3 linked regions of the Rattus norvegicus genome follow. The protein of the gene in region 1 purifies or fractionates together with the protein of each later gene. This does not show direct contact. Links are inferred from orthologs where the notes say so. Each region holds a gene or a part of one and is shown on either strand. Other genes may lie near its edges.

The links. The genes of interacting proteins can lie anywhere in the genome.
Region 2: the proteins of Zc3h18 (region 1) and Virma purify together in Homo sapiens (affinity purification with mass spectrometry; 3 studies listed by BioGRID and IntAct, counting the BioPlex papers as one, with this or other methods). This does not show direct contact. The link is inferred for Rattus norvegicus from reciprocal best matches to the Homo sapiens genes ZC3H18 and VIRMA.
Region 3: the proteins of Zc3h18 (region 1) and Srpk2 purify together in Homo sapiens (affinity purification with mass spectrometry; 3 studies listed by BioGRID and IntAct, with this or other methods). This does not show direct contact. The link is inferred for Rattus norvegicus from reciprocal best matches to the Homo sapiens genes ZC3H18 and SRPK2.

Annotation. Positions count from the first base shown.
Region 1 is NC_086037.1:67,380,031-67,383,549, reverse strand, and holds part of Zc3h18 (zinc finger CCCH domain-containing protein 18), read right to left. Parts: intron 1,570-3,519; coding exon 1,465-1,569; intron 1,167-1,464; coding exon 1,023-1,166; intron 800-1,022; coding exon 734-799; intron 1-733.
Region 2 is NC_086023.1:29,765,077-29,768,595, reverse strand, and holds part of Virma (protein virilizer homolog), read right to left. Parts: intron 2,540-3,519; coding exon 2,424-2,539; intron 1-2,423. UniProt on the Homo sapiens protein: Associated component of the WMM complex, a complex that mediates N6-methyladenosine (m6A) methylation of RNAs, a modification that plays a role in the efficiency of mRNA splicing and RNA processing.
Region 3 is NC_086022.1:12,502,728-12,506,246, reverse strand, and holds part of Srpk2 (SRSF protein kinase 2), read right to left. Parts: intron 1,489-3,519; coding exon 1,380-1,488; intron 140-1,379; coding exon 52-139; intron 1-51. UniProt on the Homo sapiens protein: Serine/arginine-rich protein-specific kinase which specifically phosphorylates its substrates at serine residues located in regions rich in arginine/serine dipeptides, known as RS domains and is involved in the phosphorylation of SR splicing factors and the regulation of splicing.

The sequences.
Region 1 (3,519 bases):
TACAAGGCACAGGGGTGGAGTGGGATGGGGAGAGTAGATGGTGATACAGTTTTGACCAGCAGAGCCATGACGTGTCTATCACAAACACCAACCAGCTTCTTCTAAGGTCATCAGGAGACAGAACAGAGGAACAGAGACAGGGAGAGACAGAACCAAGGGTTCATGGTGGCACACACCTTTAATCCCAGAACTTGGGAGGCAGAGGCAGGTGGATCTCCATGAGTTCCAGGTCAGCCTAGTCTACAGAGCGAGTTTGGGCACCTTGTCTCAAAAAGCCAACAAATAAAAGCCCCACAGGTCTTTGAAAGTCTAGACTGCTAAAGCCTTGGACAAAAGCTAAGGCCCTGATGCTCAAGGATAGAAGGAAAAATGATCAACCAGATTCCAAAAGCACCAAGCTGACTCCACCTTCTAACTCTTTCTTTTAACTCTCTCCTCCCAACTACTTCAGGGCTGACTCCCTCCACTAGGGAGCGGCAGGCCCAGAGAACACCCAGTCTCTCCTCAGTTCTCTGTGGGCAGAGAACCTGGGACCGGCCTCAGCTTTGTCCAGCTGGGTAGAAGGACCAGTCTAGGGCTCTTCCCTTCAGGTTAGGAAGGTGCTCCTGTGTGAAGGGAGGGAGGCCATGGTCACCCTGAGCTGTGTTCTTGGACACTGAAGAGCCCCGGACATGGTCAGCCCACCTGGTGAGGGAGGGAAAAGGTCAATAGGGAGTAGGACCAAGCAAGTGACCTGGATCGGGAACTGGAGCCACTGTAGCTGCTACCACTGCCGCTGCCACTGCCGCTGAGCGTCCGCCTGCAACACAAGCAGCACAGGTCTCCTCAGAGGCGCCTCATGGAGAGAGCCTTCCTGCACACCAGGCTGGTAATGGGCCTGTTCCAGGTTGGGCCTCGGCTCCCTGCTGCTTCTCTGGGGATGTACCCACCTCCTGGTCTCCAGTTTTCGTCAGCATTTATACCCAGCAGCACCAAGGACAAGGAGAACTGTACCAGGACTGCTGTAAGTCCACACTGCTCACCTCCTTGGGGGAGTCCTGGTTTGCCGTTCCTTTCTCCTGGCTTCTCGGAGATCTCCAGGCTTGGCAGGCTCAGGAGCAGGTGCAGTAGTTTTGGTGGCCTGTGGTGGGGCTGGGGGCGGGGCTGGCTTCTTTATTGACTTCTCCCTGTGAGGCAGAAGCAGGGTCAGGGAAGGGTAGGGCCAGGGTCCCTGCTTAATACACCCACATCTCAGGGCTCTGCAGTTCAGGCACAGCACATGACTGCCAAGGTCCCATGCCACAGGAACCCGAGTGTAGGTGCTGAGCCCGCACCTCCGCCCACCTGGGAGCCATATCTGCTGCCCCTTGGAGGCTGCTCACTCTAGTTCAAGCATGGGATGGGGAGAGTGGAGAAGGCTGGAAGCCCTGGAGACCCCACGGAGGTGGAGCACCACAGTGACCTGTGGAGGGGCTCAGGACTCACCCTGCTTTCCCGGGAGGCGGGGCCGGCTCCCCCTTGGTTCTGACTGGAGGTCTGTGTGGGGAAGGTGTGGGAGATGGGGATGGGGACGAGGAGAAGGACCGGGACCTGGGGAACAAAGAGAGTGTGAGGACGAGGTTGGCAGATCCCTGATTGGCTGGAGCTGGCGCATCCCCTAGGAAATGGTCCTGATCCACAGAGAACTTGGGTTCATGCTCAGCCGCTTTACCATCTGATCCAACACACACTCAGGAGAGAACAGAAAAGGGTAGCGTGCATGCTCAGAGATGGGTGCTTGTATGCAGGAGAGGGCACATGGCTCTGCCTTAGCATGGGGCCAACCAAATGGGTGACTATGGGTTTGGCTAAGTGTGGAATCTGACCTAGAAGCTGGGAGGTGGCAGAGCTGGTAAGGGTCCCAAGCACTTGGTCAGCAGGCACAAGCACAGCACAAAGGTCATGATAGCATGATAAAAGCAGGGAGAGTACAGTGGGGAGATTATGACCCCAGTGTCAGGTGTCAGCAGGGCAGAGAAGCAGCCCAGGAAAGGGTGCTGGGCCCAGGCGGAGTTTCCAGGATGAAGTTCTGACAGTGAGGTCACACTTTAGTCAAGAGGAAGAAAGATACTGGGTTGGCCTATGTTAGCTACTCAAAAGCCACCAAATGAATACCTATTACTCTGAGCTAGGTGGGGGGTCAGCATGGGTCAGGCTCCTGCAGTCCTTTATGCTTTCACGTTCAAAGGCAGATGCCGGGAAAACCTGGCGTTTATTTGCATGGGCTCCTGTTTGCTGCCTCATCTCTTGGGCAAGCACTACAGGAGGACCAGAAGGGCAAGCACTACAGGAGGACCAGAAGGGCAAGCACTACAGGAGGACCAGAAGGGCAAGCACTATAGGAGGACCAGAAGGGCAAGCACTATAGGAGGACCAGAAGGGCAAGCACTATAGGAGGACCAGAAGGGCAAGCACTATAGGAGGACCAGAAGGAACCCTCCAAGCCTGTGGCAACATGCCAGCTTCCCCTTCCTCAGCCTATACTTCTTCCTCAGCAGGTCCTCCTGAGTGTGCCTTTGGGAGGGGCTACTACAGATGAACTTCAGGAAGGACAGCTGCAATGCCCCAAGGCTAGGACTACAGGTTTCCTTCCTCACTTCAAAGGAGGACGCCCAGAACCACAGGTCTCCAGGAGGATAGTATGTACACCAAGTGAGGCTAAGCTACTGGGAAAAGCATGCCTCCTGCGGAAATGATCAATGATGAGAACATGATGAAGCTTCTGGGGCAACTGATGGGATGGGGAGTGTTCCCACTGGTACACCTGAAACACTGCCATGTACTTCCTGTGTCCTGCCTGCTATGGGACCCATGCGACTTCTTGCTTTCTGTGCTGCATTTACCGGGAAGTATCCAGAAAGACCTACGGACAGATATCTGAGTCCGTGCCTCTCTGTCCTGTTGCAGCTGCCTCCTTGACCCAAGGTCCTAACCTTAGAGCATGGAGTGTTTTTCTGGCTACCTTCTGCTACGATCATTAGCTGCTTGCCCAAAACAAAGATCATACATACAACTTTCTCTCCACACTGAGTACAAAACTTCTAAAGGCCCCTTGTTCTCCACTTCTCCAGCCCCAGATTCACACAGTGCGCTAGGTGACCTTTCTCTGTCTCAGACTCCCTCCCACAGGTTTTCCTTGTCCTTCCCACTCTGGGGCCCATGGTCTCCTCTCTCTACCGTACCCCCTCACTCCTACTCCATCCCCCATGCGCAGACACTTGCAGAAGGAACCTGCCAATGCCTGTGCTCTGGGGTTTGTGTCAGCACGTCTATGGATGGCCGCCACACAGTCGTCTCTAGGCTACTTTCCCCTCCCGGCTGCCTGCTATTTTACAAGAGTTTCAATGTCATGAAACAGACCCACATGTAATTTACTCCACACCCCACAAAACCATCAGTGAGCATCACATGAGACAGCCTCGGTGACCGCAGAATTGCATTCTAATCCTCTCATTACTAAAGCAAGCCCAGTTGGGTGTGCCGGCACACTTCTCTGCTTCC
Region 2 (3,519 bases), on another chromosome or scaffold:
GTGGTAGCCAAGCTTCAAGATGTCTCCAGTGACCCATGCTTCCTGTTACTCAGAATCTGTTCAGTCTCTATACTGGTCTAGAATCTATAACTGAGAAAATATAGTAAAACTCTCAGCGTGTCACTTCCAATAATCAGTTACAGGAACACTACCTGAGGCGGCTTCCTAGGAATGCTCACTTGTGTCCCGCTCACCCTGGAGAAAGCTCTGCTATGGCTTGAGCATGATGGACCTCCACAGAGAATATCTGCTACTAAGGAATGGCTCCAAGCAAACTCTCCACCCGATTCCCAGCAGAGGTAACATAACAATTCTGACCCGCATCCTGACTATAGACAGGATGCTAAGGATTAAACTCAGGTCCTCATACCTTGTGCAGACAGAACTTAACCAATCCCACGTATCCTGTAGCCCCATCTGGACTTCAACTTGCTATGGAGCTAAAGAGTACTTGGAAGGCCTGAGTCTCACAAGTGCCAGAAATGCACGCACGTCTCCCCGTGCAGTTTAAACTTCAGTCAGTGTTTGTGGTAGTTTTTTCCACACAGCATCTTACGATGCCCTAGCCGGTCTTAAGCTCCAATCCTCCAGGCTCTGCTCCACAATGCTGATCATAGGCATGCCACTCTCATTCTATGCTATGCTTGGGGGTCAATGCAGGGTTTTGTGCATGCTAAGCCAGTACTCTACCAACCAACCTAATTTCATCTCTCCTAAATTCCTTAAACATGGAAAAAATGTATGAGCTCTATTATAAACAATAATTAATGATTGTTTTATATTTTACATTGTAATTTTTGAATGACACCTCTGAAGACTTCTACATCTACTTCTATAAATAACAAAAAATTTTCACAATTAGGAAGAAATGAACTTTGACCCTGAATCTGTCCCATAATATTCACCAGGAAGCAGCAGGTTGAACTATTTTATATAAAAGAAATGGAATTACAAATAGTATCAATAAAATGAAATGTATCAATAAACAAAACCAGTGCCTATGCTATAAGCTAAAAGGTCTTTAAAAAATTCATTTATCATATATATTCACATTTTCACAGCCAAACTACAGTTTCTATCTCTAAGCTAGATAACTAAATAGGAAATAATGATTATTGACATCACAAAAATCAAAACCCTCTTTTATGTCAATTATTAAAGTTATCTAATGTCAGGAACAATGGTCTTACATTTTACTTCCCACTAACCCAAGAAAGAGAATGTAACACATAATCACTTGCTAATTACAATCAATGGCTCATTTGAAGCTAGAAATTTATGAAGTCATATGTATAGACATAGGGTCTGGGGAGTGGATCAATAGGTAAAGTACCTCCCACAAAATCATGGGGACCCGAGCTCACACTCCCAGTCCCCTCATAAAAGCCAGATATGTCTATAACCACACTGGGTGCAGGCAATCCGAGGTTAGAAAATCCCGGGGGCTGATGGCGATCCAGTCAAGCCAAACACTTCAGCAAGAGACAATATCTTAAAAAATAACGTGGAGAGAGCATGAGGAAGACCCCAATGCTGGCCTCTGGCTTCTGATACAAATGTACCTGCATGTGTACATACACAAATACACAAAGTCACATGTATGGTACAAGCTAGACTGGTAGTACACGTCTACAGTCAGCGACTTGGGAGACTAAGGTACAGTCCTACATTAAAGACTGGCCTGGACAACTTAGTGAGACTATCTCAAACTAAGTTTTTAAGAAAGGGAAGGTAAGGAAAGAACACTGTAGAATATGTCACTGGCCCTAAGTTAATCCCTACCCCTAAAATGAACAAAAATGCACATTTTAAAATATTCAAATGAGGGGCTGGAAACATGGCTCAGGAGTTAAGAGCATTTATTACTCTTGGAGAAACTCAGCTCACAAGCATCCATTACATCCGGTTTCAGGGGATTTGACCACTCTTGACTTCTATAGGCACACACACAGTACACATACATATACACAGACAACACATACATATCCACACACACACATATATATTAGGTACAAAATTAATTCTTTTTATTTTAAAAGAAAAAGTCTCAAAATCACTTCACCTGTTCTGGGAATGGTCAATGATAGAACGCTCACCTAGCATACGATAAACCCTGGGTCTGATCCTTAGCACTACCGAATAAATTAAAAATCAGAAAAACACATATGGCAGGGCATGGAGACACACACATTTAAATAACAGCACTCTGGAGAGAGAGCCAGGCAGATCACTGTGAGTTCAAGACCAGTCAGCCTGGACTACATATTATGTTCAAATGATTTAGCAGTTTCCAGTGTCTCAACACACACACATACACACAGAGAGACATACAAGTTTCCAGTGTCTCAACACACTATACACAGGGCTGTGGGGAGTAGAGCACATTTAAGTTTAAAAAAAAAAAAAAAAAAGAGTTGACTTACCCATATGCTCTGTTGTCAGGTAAGCCACTATGGGCTCGTACTCCCGGGGGTATAACTCGGACTTCATTGATATAAACCACACATGGAAAACGAACCACATCTATATGAGAACTTTGCTATAAAAAGGACGAAACATACTTTAAGTAAAACATTTTTCAATTCAAAACATACTTTTTTTTTCTTTTTGGCTTAAAATGAAAACAACAATCTTAAAATCCAGAGGTGAGATATAACAGTGTTGTAAAAGCACAGGATTCACAAGTTGGGGATTGGGGGGTGGGGAGGTATGCAGTGCAAGCCTTAATCCCAGCACTTGGGAAACAGAAGCAAGTGAATCTCTATGAGTTCGAGGCCAGCCTGGTCTACAGAATGCCTTTCAGAACAGCCAGGACTACACACAGAAAGATCCTGTCTCAAAAGAAAAAAAACAAAAAACGAAAAACTAAAGCAAGCAACAACAGAAAAGCACAAGCCTCACATGTTCATCAGAAACACAGTCCAGATCACTAAACATACCATTAACTTTTATATTAATTATGCTGCTATATAAATCACTTTTTAAAAAACAGCAGATGATGGGACTGCAGAGAAGTCAGCAGTCCAGAATGCAGGCAGCTTTTCTGAAAGGACCAGAGTTCAGCTCCTAGCATCCATTACCACCCGATTCCAGGGAGCCCAGGGAGTCCTCTAGACTCCAAAGGCATCCACATAAATGTGGCACACAGAGAGATACACACATACACATAAATAGTATTTTTAAATAGCTGATGGTTTATCCTAATAATGTACCTAGTTAAGTCTCTCAATTGGTATTATATAACATGTTCTGTATTACCTCTTCAATAATGTTTACTTAGACCAAACTTTTTCTGTTCATGACTCCAGATACTCAAGAAATTTTAATGGATGCTTCAAATATATGGATATATAAAACAGACATCCATTGATAAGTGAAGTAGGAAATGAAGTCGGCAAGTCTGTGCACACCTTTAAACGGAAGGTTCAGACTGTGACGTGCCTTCCACCCTTTCTTCCAATATTCTGCTGCTTTTCTAAAACATAATGTCATGATGAGCTACCATAAACAGTATAGGCA
Region 3 (3,519 bases), on another chromosome or scaffold:
GCAGTAGTTAGCCATTTACTTTTTATTACTCAGTATGTATTGCTTACTTACACATTTGAGCAATTTAATTTCATCCAAGGCTGTCTCTGTATAATGCTGTGCACTTTTTACAACTTTCATGGCGACAAACCTCTTCCCTCTTTAGATAAAACAAAGCATGGTTATTGATGTTACCAGTGTAAGAAGTGATTTCTACAGTGGGTGTAGCCAATTAGCAGGCAACAAATTGACCCTTGCAGTAAACTTCCCCTTAAAATAGCATTTTGGGGCCATTCTACAAAGTTGTCCTCATGCTGCAGCAAATGCACCATTACACACCCCACATATATCATGTATTCATACATACAGTAATAACATTTAATTAAAATCACACTTTTCAAGTTTGGGCAACACAAATAAGTGTTCATGGGTTAGACAATGCCTTATGTTTGCTGTTTCAATTCTAATTAAGACAGGTAGACAGGAAAACTGTCAGCTAACAGCACTGAGGGAAAAGTATTCCTTTATATTGCTTCATGTATGTTCATATGCACACACAAACACACAACTACACATGAACGGGTCAGCTGTGCAATAATGAGGCTTCCTGCCTTCGTCCATGTGGCTTTTAAACAATGTCACAGAACACTGAGTTGAAAGACCTATACATTTTCAATTTGTATCTGGGTTTTTTTTTCCTGATATGAATTAATGAATAGAAAAGTAACAGGCTCTGATGTAAAGCAATTTTTAAAAACTGGCTCACAGGGGTTGGGGATTTAGCTCAGTGATAGAGCGCTTGCCTAGCAAACGCAAGGCCCAGTTCCGAAAAAAAGATAAAGAAAAAAAAAAAAAACTGGCTCACAAACTACAATTAGCATTGTTTAAAAATATAAGTGAAGGCATGTAAGAGTGGGGTGAAGATCTAATACTGCAGGGCCTGTGCTAAGCAGCGCCTCACACGCCACCAGGTAGCATGACCCTTGACTACATCCTCTTAAAAGCGGATGTGGTGGTTTGTATATGCTTGGTCCAGGGAGTGGCACAATTAGGAGGGTAGCAATGTTGGAGTGGGTGTGGCCTTGTTGGAGGAGGTGTGTCACTGAGGGGGGTGGGCTTTGAGATCCTATCCTCAAGTTCTGCCCAGTTTAGAAAAGGTTTGCTCCTGGCTGCCTTCAGATTAAGATGCAGAATTCTAAGCTCCTTCTGCACCTGCCTAGATGCTGCCATGCTCCTGCCATGTTGATGGACTGAACCTCTGAACCTGTAAGCCAGCCCCAATTAAATGTTGTCCTTATAAGAATTGCCTCAGTCATGGTGTCTGTTCACAGCAGTAAAGCCAGTAAAGACGGCAGATGTGCAGCATAACTCAAGAGCACATGATGACAAAGGATACTTACTGCATATCCCAGCATAGCCAGACGGTGGAAAAGTGCCCCCATCCTAGCTTCCTAATGACATGATAGCGACCATTGAAGAGGTCTCCGATTTTCACTGGATGATAGCCACCTGAAAAAGAAAACTAAATATCTCAGGAAAACAGCAACACATCCTGTCATGCCCTGTGTCTGTCCCTAATGTCCTTAAAGGAAGCACTAAAGAACAATTAGATTAAAGATTACTCTTTTAGAAGTGAAAAATTCCTATACATACTCATTAGACTGTTTTTTGCTTATTTTAATAAAATTTGAAGCAGTAACAAAGCATGCAGAGCTCTGACAACTTGACAGTTTGTAATTAAGTCAAGGTGTGCAGACCAATGTACATGGACTCATCACTGAAATACTGCTTTCTTTAAAAACTCAAAACTTCCTATGCATACCAGAAAGCCAGCTGAATTAGATTTCAACTCTGCATAACTTTGTATACACCAATAGTTTATGGATAATTGTGTGCTGCACATCTTAATTATTCCCCAACCAGCCCTGTTGCTCTCAATACTCTTCCTCCAACCTGAAACTCTGCCAGGAAACACAATACCGAGTGACAGTGCTAAGGTGCTGTCGAGGGAGGGAGGTAGCTCATTGGTATCTAGGTAAACAACAAGAAAAACATGTTGCCTTATATTTTTTCCTCCCCCCTCGCCCCCCTTGAGAACAGGTCTTACTAAGTAAACTTGGATGGCCCAGAACTCACTCTGTAGACCAGGGTAGCCTCAAACTCAGAGACCCTACCTGCCTCTACCTTCTAGGCGATAGGAGATAAAAAAAGGCAGGCTCAACCATGCCCAGTTTTGCCTTGTGTTTTAGGTAAGCTAGGCTAAACAGCAGTATTGTGGTATCCTTTTTATGACAGATAAGAAATGGTCTAGGAGGACAAGAGGTTAGCCATGGGCAACCCTGATATAAACTCATCACCCTAGTCTTAGGACAGAGAAGTCCTGAGTAGCTTAGTTAAAAAGTTCTATGCACCCTGAAGGCCAGCAGAAAGAATGGGAGGTAGGAGGTGGGGGGACCCTCTAGAATGTACCAGAGACCCTGGAGGTGAGAGACTCTCAGGACTCAAAGGGAGGAACCTTAGATGAAATGCTCTACAGTGGGGAGAGGGGACTTGTAGAGTCCACTTCCAGTAGAAAAACAGGGCATCAAGGGGAGAGATGGGGTTGACATCCCACAGTCAAAAACTCTGACCCAGAATTGTTCCTGTCTGAAAGAACTGCAGGGACAAAAATGGGGAAGAGACTGAGGGAAAGGAGGTTCAGTGACTGGCCCAAAGTGGGATCCAGCTTCAGGGGAGGCCCCAAGGCCTGACACTATTACTGATGCTATGGTGTGCTTACAGACAGGAGCCTAGCATGACTGCCCTCCGAGAGGCCCAACAAGCAGCTGAAAGAGTCAGACACAGATAGTTACACCCAACCAATGGACAGAAGCAGGCGACCCCTGTGGTTGAATTAGGGAAAAGCTGGAAGAAGCTGAGGAGGAGGGCAACCCCATGTGAAGACCAGCAGTCTCAACTCACCCGGAACCCCAAGATCTCTCAGACACTGAGCCACCAACCAGGCAGCACACACCAGCTGATATGAGGCCCCCAACACATATACAAAAGAGGGCTGCATGGTCTAGTGTCAATGAGAGAAGATGCACCTAACCCTAGAGAGACTTGAGGCCTCAGGGAGTGGGGAGATCTACTGGGGTGGGGGAGGTATGGGATGAGGTCAGAGGATAGACTTGAAGGAAGATAAATACTTGACTGTAAACAAAATTAAAGAATTAAAAAATAAAACGTTCTATGCTACTTAGGTGCACATCATTGTTTGCACTGCTATCTCTAGGTGACATGGCTGACAAACAACCACCACTAGTGAATGTTTTACATTCAAGTCCTCAGACAGCCAGAGCACGTTTTGTGAGCAGAACTGCAAGGAACCATCTCTCCTGGAATCTCACGCAGGTACCACAGCTCCTGTTTTCTAGGGGCCCTGGGTCTAGAGTGCTGAGAGAACACTGAAGTTCAAATGTTGTCTCTTAAAAACAGACCAGTTACACAAAAGCAGCACAGAAGTATTTTTTAAAACAAAGAAAAACACATTAAAAGCAT